Kluyveromyces lactis: one gene and its partner. The protein of the gene in region 1 interacts with the protein of each later gene in a pairwise test. Links are inferred from orthologs where the notes say so. Each region holds a gene or a part of one and is shown on either strand. Other genes may lie near its edges.

The links.
Region 2: the proteins of RTG2 (region 1) and MKS1 interact in binary tests that used the Saccharomyces cerevisiae proteins (3 or more experiments, as listed by UniProt). The link is inferred for Kluyveromyces lactis from reciprocal best matches to the Saccharomyces cerevisiae genes RTG2 and MKS1.

Annotation. Positions count from the first base shown.
Region 1 is NC_006040.1:981,779-989,641, forward strand, and holds RTG2 (Rtg2p), read left to right. Parts: upstream 1-3,876; coding exon 3,877-5,640; downstream 5,641-7,863. Other genes in the region: HFM1 (DNA helicase), read left to right, coding at 262-3,525; PRE4 (proteasome core particle subunit beta 7), read left to right, coding at 6,066-6,863; 3',5'-cyclic-nucleotide phosphodiesterase PDE1, read left to right, coding at 7,474-7,863. UniProt on the Saccharomyces cerevisiae protein: Required for a novel path of interorganelle communication between mitochondria, peroxisomes and the nucleus, thereby maintaining a functional metabolic interaction between the tricarboxylic acid and glyoxylate cycles.
Region 2 is NC_006041.1:699,653-707,783, reverse strand, and holds MKS1 (Mks1p), read left to right. Parts: upstream 1-3,303; coding exon 3,304-5,298; downstream 5,299-8,131. Other genes in the region: OM45 (Om45p), read left to right, coding at 250-1,935; snoRNA-binding rRNA-processing protein IMP4, read left to right, coding at 5,740-6,591; KLLA0_E07811g (uncharacterized protein), read right to left, coding at 7,158-8,131. UniProt on the Saccharomyces cerevisiae protein: Negative regulator of Ras-cAMP pathway. Involved in transcriptional regulation of galactose-inducible genes.

The DNA of each region.
Region 1 (7,863 bases):
ACGCTCATGATAAAAACGGATACCCTTTCTCCAGAATAACCCTCGAGTTCAAAGAGATGTATAAAAATGTGCATTGGACCTGATTTAAACGTCATGGATTTAGTACCTAAATTCTAACACTATTTACAATCGAATAACGTCCATAAAGACAATGGAACAAACAAGCCAACTAGCCGCCCAAACTTTAAAGTAGGTATATCATACAACAGCATCATCGACGATGATAGTGGGGATGAGTTAAGTACTGATGGCCCTTATAACATGTCGAAAGAGTATGAAATTAGTAGCTCCAACACTTCAAATGATACCACATTCCAGCTTAATTTCTCGAATTCTTTGACTCGTCCATTAAGGAAAAAACCCAAAATCGCAACATTACAAAAGGACCCTGTTAATGAAATCCGTTTGTTACCTGTTTCAGTGCTACCGGACTCTGCTCAGTGTATATTCCCTTTCGAAAATTTTAATAGAATGCAGACTGAATCGTTCGAAAACATCTACCGATCCAATGAAAACTGCATCGTCACCTCCCCAACAGGATCCGGAAAGACAGTCTTATTTGAATTAGCCATTTTAAACGCAATGAACAGGCTCGATAGACCTTCTTCGGTAAAGGTGCTTTATATTGCACCTACTAAATCGTTATGCAACGAGAAGTATCAACAGTGGAAATCGAAGTTTATCATGTTATCAGTTGGAATGTTGACAAGTGATACTTCCTTCACAGAATTGGAAAAAGTAAAAGCCGCAAACATCATCATATGTACACCTGAGAAATGGGATGTTATAACAAGGAAATGGACAGATTATCCTCAGTTCTTTGCCATATTGAGCCTTGTGTTGGTAGATGAGATTCATATTTTGCAGGAGCATCGTGGAAGTACATTGGAAGTTATTCTTACTAGAATGAATTCAATGTGTCAAAATTTGAGAATAGTTGCTGTAAGTGCAACCATTCCTAATATACATGATATTGCTGACTGGTTGAAAACTGGAGGACCTACTGGCGTTCCAGCAAAAGTACTAGCCTTTGATGACAGTTACCGACAGGTGGTGTTAAGACATCACGTTTATTCATTCTACAATAAATTCAATAATGAATTCCAAATGGACGCTTTGTTTAATACAAGATTGGTCGAACTCATTAACAAGCACAGCAAAGGAAAACCTGTTCTAATTTTTTGCCCCACCAGACAATCGACCATTGTAACAGCAAGACACATCGCCCTACATGACCACGAAATGAATAACACCAGTAGTAAACGTTCAAATATTAAACTACAGGACAAACAATTAAGCGAGATTGCACAGAAGGGAATTGCTTTCCACCATGCCGGATTGTCAATGACGGATAGGAGCGTGATTGAAGACAAATTCACCAACGGTGACATAAAAGTGTTGTGTTCGACTTCAACTTTGGCTGTCGGAGTCAATTTACCAGCTTATTTGGTTATTATTAAAGGTACAAGGATGTGGTCCATCAACGGTTCCCAAGAATATTCAACTCTAGACATTTTACAGATGATCGGAAGAGCAGGAAGACCACAGTTTGAAACAGAAGGGACCGCATTGATCTTAACGGACGAAGGATCCCAAGAAAAATACGAGAATCTTTTGAAGGGAACCTCCACCTTAGAGAGTTGTTTGCATTTGAATCTAGCCGAAAACATTGTTGCTGAAATTGCACTAAATTCTATTACATCGATAAAATCTGCGATGAATTGGTTGAAAAACACTTTCTTTTATAGACGATATCTTAAGAATCCAGCTCATTATAGTGTTATTAGAAGCAGTATACTGACTTCGGACGCTGAATGCCAGTTAACTCATTTTTGTGAACGAACACTAAAGGATCTTCTTTCTTATAAAATAATCCTTGACAACAACGGAAATTTGTGTGCTTCTGGATATGGACAGGCAATGACTAGGCACTATATCCTTGGAGATACGGTCAAAAACATCATAAGATCAAACACATCACTAAAGTCGCTTGAGGTACTTAAAATATTGGCCAATGCTAGCGAATTTGATAGTATTCGTTTGAAGCATAATGAGAAGAAATTGTATCGAGAAATCAATGCAAATCCTCTTTTGCGGTACCCATTTACAGATAAGAAGAAACAGCTAATGTCAATAACTTCTAAAGAACAGAAAATTTCGTTATTAATCCAGTACGAATTAAGCGGTTTAGAGTATCCTTCTTACAAAGATGCACAAAAACATCACCAAACATTAGTTCAGGATAAGATGCTTGTTTTCAGACATGCTCCTCGAGTACTCAAATGTATGATTGATTGCTTTATTGAGAAATATGATGGAGATTCATTGAAAAGTACTTTATTTCTTTTGCGTAGTGTCGCCGGTAAAGGTTGGGAGGATACTCCGATGATCTTAAGACAACTAAACACCATTGGTTTGGTATCACTACGGAAATTAGTGAGTCACGGAGTATGTACATTTGCAGATATGGAAAAACTCACAGAACAACAGATCGAATATTATCTCAGTTTGCGACCAGGCAACGGATATAAAATCAAAAGTGACTTACAAATGATTCCTTTATTATCGCTCGAATACAGTGTAGAAGAAAAGACGGTAACTCAAAACGCAATCCATGTTTCATTTAAAGTAGAAGTACAAGCCAATTTTAAATCTGCATCTTGGCATGGTCAACAACTTTGTATGCTGATCATGTTGAAGACTGATACAGGCATATTAATAGATTTTCGGCGAACGTTCTTGAGTAAGTTAAAGACACCCAAAGCCTTCAGAATAACCATCCAGGTAGACAGAAACACGAATTTTATCGAGTTTGTCTATTCATGTGAGCAAATAGGCGGATCAAATCGTGAAATCAGGTACTATTTGAGTAATGGGTGCTATGACGATATGCCAAAATATTCGAATGTACTTGAACAGATTGATTCAAACCAAACTGGCTCTTTCCAAACTTCAATAAATTACAGTGACGCCAGGGAAACTATAAACAATGAAACAGATGATGATGAAGAGCTATTAAATTTGTTAGCGGAGAAAAATAATTCAAATGCTAACAATGAACGACAAGAAGACTGCGACAGATCTCTATTGGATAATGGAAACATGAAATGTCACCATACTTGCAAGGACAAGTCAACTTGCCGCCATCTTTGTTGCCGGGAAGGAATTCCTAGAAACACCAGGCGTAAGGCATCGAAACAGAGCATGATAAAGCATACTGAGAGTGTGCAGCAAGAAGAACCATCATCATCTAAGGATGCAAGAAACGATTTGCAGAAAGGATTATCTTCCTCCAAGAGTATGCTCCCTAACCTTGACGAATGTCAGCAAATGGAGCCAGAGCCGGTTCTGGAAAATCCAATAAATTCCCTTCCCAAGGTGTCTTCAGCGCAGCAGACACAAAAGATCACATATATAATACCCTCAAGTTCCCCTAAACAGAGTAGCCCTTTCGATACATCGTTGTCTGACACTCAAGATGCAGATTTGCTAAACTTCTTAGGATCCGACATTGAATTGGGCTAAGTCGGTGGAATCTTTAGCTATTATAATAATTTTCCAGCAGATTGGCATTTCTTTAATCAAAATACCGACAACCTATTTGTAGATGAGTTAGTGCAGCAGCAGCAGTCGTCATACTCGATTTGACCAAGAAAGATAAACCTTACCACACCTCACAAAATCACGTGCATCGTTTTTGATGACTATTTTCTGTTTTCTTTAAAATATTGAAGTTCGCAATCCTAGACAAGCTAGACAATAACCACCATGGGACGACTTAAGAAGGTATAGAAGAATTATCTAGGTTTCTAGCTGAGTAACAAGTGAAGGGAGGGGCTAACAGGCTTCATTGAGTATTTATAGCATATTTGAGGTATGTCAATGATATCTGATAGCGACAATGAAACTGAAGTTGTTTCACGCAATCTATGTGGTGTTGTGGACATAGGTTCCAATGGGATAAGGTTCAGTATTTCATCTAAAGCATCACATCATGCTAGGATAATGCCATGCGTTTTCAAAGATAGAGTAGGTATTTCTTTGTATGAAGTGCAATATGCTGCGAATTCGCTTATCAAGGCCCCTATTCCTACTGCGGTTATCCACGAAGTTTGTTCTGCTATGAAGAGATTTAAATTAATTTGTGAAGACTTTGGTGTTCCAGAAACAGGAGTCAGAGTAGTAGCTACAGAAGCTACTAGGGAAGCATTGAATTCTCAAGAGTTTATAGATGCTATTTATGACTCAACAGGTTGGGATGTGGAAATTTTGACCAAAGAAGAAGAAGGCAGGATTGGTGCTTACGGTGTCATATCGTCGTTCAATACTGTATCTGGGTTATACATAGACTTAGGAGGTGGTAGTACTCAACTATCTTGGATCAAATGTGTTAATGGGGAAATTACTCAATCATCTACCCCGGTTTCATTACCATTTGGGGCCGGTGCTCTGACAAGAAGAATGAAATTCGAAAGCAAGCACGTCTTACTTCAGGAAATTGTGGATGCTTACAAGTCTGCAGTCACAAAGATTGGCATCCCCAAGGAGATGTACGATGAAGCACAGTTAAACGGCGGGTTCGATTTATATACATGCGGTGGTGGCTTGCGAGGGATGGGTCATCTTCTATTATCGCAGATCAAAGAATATCCTATTCAAACAATTATAAATGGATTTTCATGCAGTTTTAGCGAGTTCTCAAACATGTGTGACTACTTGTTTTTGAAGGAGAGAGTTCCAGGTGAATCGGCAAGTAAGATCTTTAAAGTCTCTGATAGAAGAGCCAAACAATTACCAGCTGTAGGCCTACTCATGGCAGCAGCTTCCGAGTCATTGCCCAAGATCAAAAACGTTCATTTCAGTGAAGGTGGTGTCAGAGAAGGTACTTTATACTCGATTCTTCCAAGGGAGATTAGAGCACAGGATCCACTTGTCATTGCAACCAGACCCTATGCTCCTTTGCTTGTTCACAAATATTTGGAACTATTAAGGACTGCTATACCTACTAAAGAGATTCCAAAGATAGTATACGAAAGAATAGCTCCTGCTCTTTGTAACCTCGCTTTCGTACACGCTTCATATCCAAAGGAACTACAACCGACCGCAGCACTACGTGTAGGTACATCTGGTATCATTGCTGGGTGTCATGGGCTATCTCACAGATCAAGAGCTTTGGTGGGAATAGCATTGTGCAATAGATGGGGTGGAGACATACCAGAACCTGAAGAAGTGTACAAAAAGCTATTGGAAGACATTGCACTAAGAGATGGTGACAAACTAGAACGTGAAAGGACAATATGGTGGACAAAATACATTGGCACTATCATGTATGTCATTTGTGGTGTTCACCCTGGTGGTAACATTGGAGATGGTGTCTTCCATTTCAGCACTTCGGAGAAAGATGAATCGGCTATTGATTTACAGATGCTATCTATAGATGAGAACCTTTCAGGAAACGGCAAGCCAACTCCAACAGGGAACCCGAACAAGAGGATATTCGAAGTTGTTGTCAAGATTAACAGAAACGATCTAAAGACTATTGCTTCTGTGAGGCAAAGAATCATCACGTTGCAAAAGAAAATAAGGAAATTATCCCGTGGTTCCAGCGACAAGGTTAAGATCAATGTAGAATTCTATTGAACACTCAATTGCGATCTCAGTATGTATAGGCTTTATATAGAATGCTCTTTATTTTACTTCCCTCAGCCTCCCTTCCTGTTGAAGATTTAATATCTAATTTACCCTGTTTGTAACAAGCCTCAGACCCTAAAATGTGATATAAATATTCGTGAAAGCGCCATATAGGTAGTGTAGTGCGCTGCTGTGTACTACTATCCGATGGTCGTATCCTCTGTTGATCACTCTGTTTTAGCTGGAAAAATATAGCGTTACCCGCCCTTTAACATTTTACCTTATTAGAACGATTTTGCCACTATCGAATATAAGAGAGACATGCAATTCATAATTAATACATAAGGAGTTCACTTCACGACAGGTTACAATCAACACTAAAGAGTCACCAAGGGTATTTTCTGCGAATCCAATCCATTGAAACACTTTCCAACATGAATCACGATCCATTTGCCTGGGGAAGGCCATCTGACGAACACTATGGCGCGTACAATCATGCCATTGCCCAAGCGTCAAATAATCCAAAGATGAATACTCAGAACCCTATTATTACCGGTACTTCTGTCATCAGTATTAAGTATAATAACGGTGTTATTGTTGCAGCTGATAATCTAGGTGCTTACGGTTCGTTATTACGTTTCACAAACGAGGAGAGATTGATCAAAGTGGGTCCCAACACGGTTGTTGGTGTATCCGGTGACATTTCCGATATGCAATACATTCAACATCTATTAGACGAGATGGAAATTGAAAACAATTACGATAGCGCATATGCGGATAATGAGGAGCAATTGAAACCAAGCTTCGTTTTTGAATATCTATCATCTGTGATGTACCAACGTAGATCCAAGTTAGATCCTTTATGGAATGCGATAATTGTAGGGGGCACAGAAGATGGAAAGCCATTTTTAAGATACGTTAACCTATTAGGTGTCACATACTCTTCGCCAACGTTGGCTACAGGGTTCGGTGCCCACTTGGCATTGCCCCTTTTAAGAAAGCTAGTAGACACCGAAAAGGACGTGGAAAAAGTGAATCTAGATGTTGCTAAGAAAGCTATCCTAGAGGCAATGAAAATATTATACTACCGTGATGCCCGTAGTTCACGTAAGTTTTCATTGGCTATAATCGACAATGAACTGGGGCTCAATATCGAAAAGGACCTACAAGTAGAGAATATGTCTTGGGAATTCGCCAAAGACATCAGAGGATATGGTACCCAAAAGGTATAGGTTTCGGATTTACTTCGTCTTGTCTTCATGCTTTCACTTATCCACGCAGATAATACTTGCACCAAAATACACAATCTCATGCCAACAAAGGAAGAGCAACACATGGTGATCCTGCTCTGGTAATATATACTTTCTTTGTCAATAACGGGAAGACCTCACCTCTTCTGTGTTTTCTCTATAAATGTATACTATGCGTAAATTCTGAATTAGGGCACATATTCACACATAATACACCAAGAAAGAAACTGATCAAAACGGCGTCAATGCTGTCAACTACTGGACAGCCAGCTCAGTCATTATGTCACTAAGATATTTCGAGTGAAGGGACCTGTATATATGAAGGTTATCGTTGGAGTTACCTTTCTTTATTCTTTTACAGTTCCAATTCTTTTAGAAAACAAGTTTAATTCTATATAAACAAGTAGTAACCTAATTGATTAATGAATCATCGACAAAGGAAAGACTAGAGGACTTATAGCGCTAGCCCAGTATACCTATATTCCATACTCTCAAATACAACTGGCTTGTAGGGTAGGCATCTATACGCCAGGAAACAGATTTTTACCGATATCTTGCGATATATTTCCATTCTGGTTTCGAAAGTGAAAAGATGTCTACGTATCCTGGATGCTCATTTGAACTAACTATCTTAGGAAGCTGTGGGGGCCCCCTAAACAATCATACACAGAGTTTCTTGATGAAACGCGCAGGATCGAGTGAATCAGGATATATTTGCATTGATGCGGGGTCCGGACTAGCTGAGATCGCAGATATGATCTACGCACAGGAATACGGTAACACGTTCTTAGTCAAGAGTCTATACAAATCTAGTGCCGAAGACGTTTCACGATTTCTTGCACAAGGGGTACGGTGTACCATTGGGTTTGGTACACCAAGTGAAGTGTTCCTGAAGAAAAGCGCAGAGGCCCACAGCAGCATTATGAGGACCGCTTGTGAAATATTCTCCGAAGTTAGGGAATATTATATCACACATCCGCAC
Region 2 (8,131 bases), on another chromosome or scaffold:
GCAGGGAACCCGACTTGTTTCGGCATGACTGCTGGATGGGCAAATATATGTAAATATATATAAGGGATGTATCTTGATTGAATTAAACAACGGTAAGTTTAAATATATATATATATGTCTTGGGCATACTTTTGATTCTGCTTTGCCCGATTTTAAGGGTAAAGAGCATCATCGACCTTAAGTATAGTGAAAGAATTAAGGTAAGAAGAAAAAAAAACCAAGAAGTAAAGAAACTAAGTACGTCGAAACATGTCGAACAGAGTTATTATCGGAGGTGTTGCTGTTGCAGCAGCCGGATATTTGTTGTACGAACGTCAAGTTCAGTTGAAACAACAGCAAAATGGGGCTGTTCCCGTGTCTCCAGTTGTTCACGACCAAAGTACATTTGAAAGGAAAGGTGCCAAGACTGGTGCGAAATTGGACGATTTAACCACTGATGTGAAGGACAAAATGTCACAATACAAGAATGAGGCCGATTACAAGTTCCAAGACATTGCCTCGCAGGTTGAGGGCAAGAAAGCTGGCATCGCTGATTGGACCGTGGAAAAATTAGATCAAGCAAAGAACACGATTGAAGATTCACGTGACAAGTACAGAGACAATAAGCACACTCTAAGAGAGAACGTTCAGGAATATGAAAACAAGGACAAGCCAAACGCTGTCGTTCAAGTCTACAAGGACACGAAGGGTGCTATTTCCACTGATCTCGGTAACATCAAGGAAGGTTTCATCGATGACCTGAAAAGTGTGAAGTCCGCAATCGTTGGTACTGGCAACCAAGTGCAAGACACAGTTCACCAGAATGTGAACGAAATAGCTGACAGAAGCTCGCAGAAGATCGACGATACCAAAGAATCCGTATCCAAGGCTGCTGCTAGCAGTAAGCAAACCGTGAACGAAGCTGCTCAGAATGCGAAGGACACGTCAGTCAGTATTTTGAACTGGGGCTACAACAAGGCTGAGAAGGCTCGTGCTCAAGCTATCAACAATTACGATAATGCAAGCAAAAAATACCAAGAGTTGGAAGAAAGGTTCAACGAGTCAAAGAAGGGCCTTTTCGGTAAAGGTGACCCAGAATTGCAAAGGCAAGTTGATCAGGCTAAGGCGTACGTGGAAGATGCCAAGAGAAGAGTGGATGAAGCCACTAGGGAATTCTCTGAGAAGACCACCAATGACTTCAACAAGCTGGCCAACCAAGTACACGACAACGAAGAAGAGCTGAGACGTAAAGGGTTCTTGAGTTGGTTAAGAGGTAAGGCCGACGCGGAGGTTGTTGATCCAGACTCTATTGCCAGCCATAGTGTTTCTGGATGGGGTGAAACTGCCGAACTCTTAGCAAAGGAAGAGATGGAGGAGAAGGTGAGGAACAGACAAATAGGACCAAGTGAAGCTCAAAGAAGATTGGATCGTTTCAAGAAAATCAAGGAAGACGGTTGGTTCACCTACAAGGGTAAGGACGAAGAGTTCCTGGCTCAAAAGGCTGCTAAGGCCTTGGAAGGTTGGGGTGAAACCGCTTCCACCATGGCCCAAGAAGAATACGAAGACTTGGTAAGATGGAGAGAAGCCGGTAAGAAGAGATACCAAGCTTCCGCTTCTACCGCTCGTGATGACGCCCAAAGGGCTGCAGACGCTGCCAAGAAGTCATTGGAAGATGCCCGTGCTGAATTGAACAAGCACACAAAGCACTGGTGGCAATTCGGTGCTGAAAAGAATGAGGAACTACAAAAAGCTGCCAAGGCCAAATACGAAGATGCTGAAAAGAATTACCAATCTGCGGTTAATACCGTAAACGACTGGGCTGACAAGGCTACTGGTAAGTTCTGGAGTAGTACAGACGACGCCTTGCATACTGCCAAGCAAGCTGCTGCCGGTGTTCACGAATCCACTCAAAAGGGACTAGATAAGGCACAAAACTACGTACAAGAGAAGAAATAATTCATGATTGATTGATTTCCTTTCCCTTATCTCCTCACCTGCCCCCTCCCTCACATTCTAAAACATCGTATTAATGATTTTGATTTTGATTTTTGTCTCTATCTAACTAACGTATCTAAAACTATATTATTATGTATCAACCTAAAATACCAAGTGTAAACCGTATTCCTATTGCATGTTGAAGTATGTGTGCATGCATGAAGTATTCAGTAAGACTATACTATTAACTCCAAAAAAAAAATAGCCAGAGACCGAACTTTCAATCACGTGATTCTAGTGCCGCACTCCCCAAACTCGGGTCTCCAAACACTTAACTGCATCCATCCCTGCCCCACTGTTCTCCCCTCCCCCTGTCCCCTCATCCGTGTAAAAGATGGAGATAGCATACACTGATCTCGCCTTCCGTCTCTCAGCTCGCTTCTCCCAAGGCAACAGGCCCCCATAATGTCCCCGACTTTCGTGATCCAGGATTACAGGAAGGAAAAACATAAAATACGTGACCTGATTTGATATCACAACGGTAAACCGAAGAATAAGACTTTTTTTTTTTTGAAATTTTCCCATTGAAGATGACTGACCGACTGTTGCCTGAATGACTGCTTGAATGACTGCTGCTATTTTGTGTTTCGTTGCTTGATATGCCAGACAGAGGCTTACCATGGCATAGATGATAAAGATATATCGGTAAATGATCGTCTCATTCCATCCTTCCTTTGTTGCTCCCTTGATTTTCTGCTCGATGCAGCTGACCTTGGTACTATATTAAGGAACCACCGACGCTATATATAACTAAAACGCTATATGTTCCTTCCTTGTTTGTTTATTTACTTCTTCTACGTATGATTTGTTCCCTTTTTTTTTTGGATTAGAACTATCTACTTTACATAGTTCTTCCTCTCACACGCAGGTATTGTTATTCAACTTGAGATTCAACTGCTACTACTATTGCTACTGCTTCCTACATCACCTGGCTGCTATATTGAAAAGATTAGCACGCTTTTTTCAACTTGGTTTCATTCCAGGTTTTTTTTTCTTTTTCATCGATCATAAGCAGAAACAGAAATACAGTGCTGATAGAAAAAAGGTCAGGTCAGGCATTATTTCCCATATTAAAGGTGTGCTTTAACTTGTTGAACTTGATTTATAACTGTTGTTATTGAACAGAGGAAAGAGACCAAAGACCAGCCACGAGTAATCAATCTGAACAGTAAAAGACGAAGAATCTGTTATCGCTTGGCATCATAGGACTTCAGAGTTCGCACGAATTTTTTTTTTTATTATTTTGTTTTTACTTCAACACGAAGCACCGTCTTTCCTCCGGTGGTCTTACCTCTTTTCTATTCACCTTATCATACTGTTTAGATTAATATGGATCAGAGGATTTCAATACGCAGGCGAGAAATGGATCCCAAGATGCTTAACTGTACCGATAAAAATCGGTTCCAGATGCTACACGCGAGTAGTGATGTAGAACATGAACAAAATCATACGTTTTTGAAAGTGAGTCCCGCTCTTTTCACGCAGGATAAACTGCCGTTGTTCGATTCTTTAGACTTATACACTTCGTTGATCAAATGTAGCAAATTCATGGAGCAAGGAGAACGGCTGCATAACCTTAGTTGGAGGATCATTAATAAGTCGTTGTTGAAAGATCAGAATATCAACAAGTCAAAGAGACGGGATGGTGTACGGAACCTATATCACGTTATTAATCCTATAAAGCAAACGCACTTATTCCCACAACTGCAGCAACAGCTGCAGAAACCAAAAGCTGTGACACCGGCGTCACCAAAGACTCCAACTACAATGGTAACTGCAGCTTCCACCTCGGCGACATCGTCCGGTTCATCATCTGCGCTGTTGACACCAATCTCTAGTGGGGCCTCGATACCGAAATCGACTGCTAATACGCATATTACGTCAACAAGACCTCATATCTCAATTTCGAAGAAACTGATATCACCTGTGTGTTCTTCACCTGAACCTCTACCGACGAAAATGGAGGTTCCATCAAGGTCCCAGGCAAACACCCCTGATCTACGGAAAGATTTGGCAAAGAAGAAATTCGCTATTTCTCCTGAATTGGTCAATGTACCGAAGAACCATCAACAACAATTACCTTTACCACCATCATCATCAGAACCCCCGGTGTCAAATCATGTGCCTTTATCGGAAACAAAGTCAAATGCTCACTCACAGACTTCTTTGTTCAGTAGAAACCCATCTAGTAAATCATTATTTGCGAAAAATCAACCTACTCCATTCACCCCGGCCAATGGATCTACTAATTCATCTGCCAATGGATCTGCTGAAAACCTCAAATCAAATGAGATGAATCATTCCTCGAGAACGTCATCAGTTGCCAACAATATCGCTCATACATCTAGTAATGGCACCAAATCTGGAACGTCTGGTACTATAAGTAATGCAGCGCATGTGCATGCCGGACAAGATCACAAGAATATGTTCTTTAGTAGTGAGGACGAAGAATCTGATTGGGACTCTCTTTCAGATGATAGTGAGATATACGATGAAGAAGAAGATAATGATCAATATTATGAAAACCAATGGGATAAGCTGATGTTCTCAAAGACACACCAAAACAATAATGTTCATCAAGTGCCTTCAAAAGAATCCGGAGAGAAGAAAAGTTTGTTGTCTGGTCTATTCATGCAAGAGAAACAAACCAAGTCACAAGTTGATCCAGAGGATAAAGCATACACTACAACCAATGAGGATTTGCTCAAAAGACCACTATATGTTTCTGAAGCAACATCTTCAGCAAAGGCTGTTGAGAAACCTGTCTTAAAGTCTTTGGATAAACAATCGGAAAAGCCTCTGAGAAAGAAGACCGATCAAAATTGCATATTACATCAGAATCCAACAGGAATTCAAATACCGCCTCAACCTGTTGCTCCAGAAACTACGGAAATAGTTGCTGTGGGCTCTGTGACACCATCAAGTTCGTGGCAGAACAAACCTCTTTTGGATCATCAAAAGCCAATTCCTGTCGCATTTGAGCGTTCCAGAAGACTCGGCTCTTTTAGTAGTATCGTAAGCGATACTACTAGAGAACGGTATTATCATGAATCGAATGCACCTCCGGCTGCTCAGACCATTTTACCTACTGCTCTTTCTACCCATATGTTTTTGCCTAATAACGTCCACCAACAAAGGATGGCATTACGTGGAGGAAGTCTTCAATCAGATTTTGATACTGAAATAGCCAAAAAGGTAGCATCGAGACGTGAATCGATGGATATCCCTTCCAAAAACAGAAACAATTTCTTCCTCAAGACTAGAATGGAAATCTCAGAAGAAGAAAGCTTCGCTAGAGCATATGGCAGATGTGTCAAGAAGTGAAGGTAATTTCCTTCATTTACTAAACATCATCCACGACAAATATTAATTACCTTTGATAGACTGTATAAAACCTCGTTTAATGACAACCAAGTAATTCTTTAATATGTCACCAATTACAGTGTCTGTTGTATGTAACCGATGTTACGATAATGCGTTTCTTAGCGTATTTGGCTTTATGGATTTGTATAAAGGTTTTGTCACGTGACCATTTGGTATTATTCTAATAATTATTTCTTTTTGAGGCTGAAATTTTTACATGAACGATGCGATGAGATGAGACGTTAGAGCTGAAGAACAACTTAGCTGGTTGGACATTTTTGTTTACGACGGACTAGTATCGTGTATATACGTACTGTAGTCACTATAAACAGGCATTATTATAGTATATTATCAGCTATTCGCTTTTTTGGTACTATACAAGCAACACATTATTGAAGTACGATGTTAAGAAGGCAAGCTCGTGAAAGAAGAGAATACTTGTACCGTAAAGCACAAGAGCTACAAGAATCTCAACTACAACAAAAGCGCCAAATCATAAAGCAAGCGTTAGCACAGGGGAAACCACTACCAAAGGAAATTGCTGAAGATGAGCAACTACAGAAAGATTTTCAATACGATGAAAGTGCTCAGGAACAGATAGATGATGAGTACAGCGCAACAAGCGGTATCGCAGAACCTAAGATTATTGTGACAACATCTAGAGACCCTAGTACTAGGTTATCACAGTTTGCAAAAGAAATCAAATTACTGTTCCCAACAGCGGTAAGATTAAACAGAGGTAATTACATTATGCCGAATCTTGTCGATGCCTGTCAAACATCAGGAACGTCAGATTTGGTTGTTCTTCATGAACATAGAGGTGTTCCTACATCACTAACGGTATCACATTTCCCACATGGTCCAACAGCATTTTTCACATTACACAACGTCGTTTTAAGACATGACATTTTAAATTCGGGGAATCAAAGTGAAGTAAATCCACATCTAATCTTCGATAATTTCACAACACCATTGGGTAAGAGAGTAGAGACGATTTTAAAGCACCTATTCCCACCTGGTCCAAAGAAAGATGCAGCAAGGGTGATAACGTTTGCAAACAGAGGAGATTTTATCAGCGTTAGGCAACATGTTTATGTGAAAACCAGAGAAGGTGTGGAGTTAGCAGAAGTGGGACCTAGGTTCGAGATGAGATTGTTCGAATTAAAATTAGGAACATTAGAAAATAAAGATGCTGACGTAGAATGGCAACTAAGAAGATTTGTTAGAACGGCTAGTAGAAAGGACTATTTATAATTATAGTAAGCATAATAAGACAATTCCATCATAATGTCCATAAAATCAAGCAAAGTATAACATTTTTGCTAGTGGAAAGAATTCTATCAAACGTATTTCGTTTTAACGACGGAAAGGGTATGTTGTTTGAGGAGATACAGGAAAATTAAACACAATTACATGATATTAGCAAACCCTGGAGCATGAAGCAACTGCGTTTCAGTCACTGTATTTATAGATAGGATAAAAAGAATCAGAAAGAGAAAAAGAAAACACCCGTAAGTAAATTAACATAAAAGAATAACAACCTTCTCATTTCGATATAAATAAAAATAGAATGTTAATTCAAAATAGAGTTATAACGATTGACTGTACCGAGGAGACGGTAAGGGAAAGAGTTGCTGAACGAGAGAAAAAATAAGGGAAGGGGAAGAAGATGTATCAAAGAAGAGACGGAAAAAATAAATGACCCGTTCTTGGCCAGAAAATTCAAGTGATTGCTTGAAAACAGATAAACGTAGCAATTTCCTTCTATTTAAAAGCGCGCTGAATGGCTCATGGATCATCCTTATTCTTTCTTTTTAATGTTAGATTTCGTTAGTCAACTTTTTCTTCACCACTTCGCTTGCCGTATTGGATTGAAGTTGCTCATCATAAAAAACATCATCCAGTATATGGGTATTCGCGCTTGACACGGAGCTTCTACTGAAGTTATTCGCGTACGGTGAAACTCCACTAGCATTGGAGTACGCTCTTGTCTTGTACGCTGGAGGAGAGAATTTTTTGTTAAAACCAGATCCCTGAGTAGAAGTACGTGATAAACGAAGTCCTTGAGGATTTACTGGTGGGGTGTTCAGTGTACCTGCACTAGATACATCATGATCTAAACCACGATGCTGTGTATTTCTGTTGTTGTTGTTGTTGTTGTTGTTGTTGTTGTTGTTGTTGTTGTTGTTGTTGTTGTTGCTGTTGCTGCTGTTGCTGTTACTGCGATGTTGGTCCGGATCTTCATCATCGGAACATTCACTTCCGCTGGACTCTATTTGAAAGTTACTCTTGCGCAACAACGCACTATTTGGGTTATGTGGGATCATTAAAGGGGAAGTACTCAGTCTATGTCCATTTGTAGTATTAGTATTTGGGGAACGGCACGCGAGATTCCCCGAATAATGTCTTGTAGCAACGGCCAGTGGTGGAATGGAAACGTTGGAAAGTTTTCTATGTGATTCCAAGGGACTAACACCCTGTCCACTGTTCCCACCGTTTGCAGCTACCGCAGCAGCTATAGCCTGGTTGTTCAAGAATGGATTAGAAAAATCTGGTGAACCCAGCTGATTTGAAGGAGAGTTTCCTGCTCTGTGGCTATCAAATCCTGTAGGCGTACCAGCACCTTGTTGTCTCAACAAGGTCGACGAAAGCGATTGTGTTATGGAAGGCCTTCTTGGATATGAAGAGTTCTCATCCGATATCATATCGGCGTAAGAGTAAAAACGTAACACCCTAGGTCTGGTTTCCAGGCCAGACCCCTGAGAGGCACTATTGGTCCTCATCAGTCTTGTTG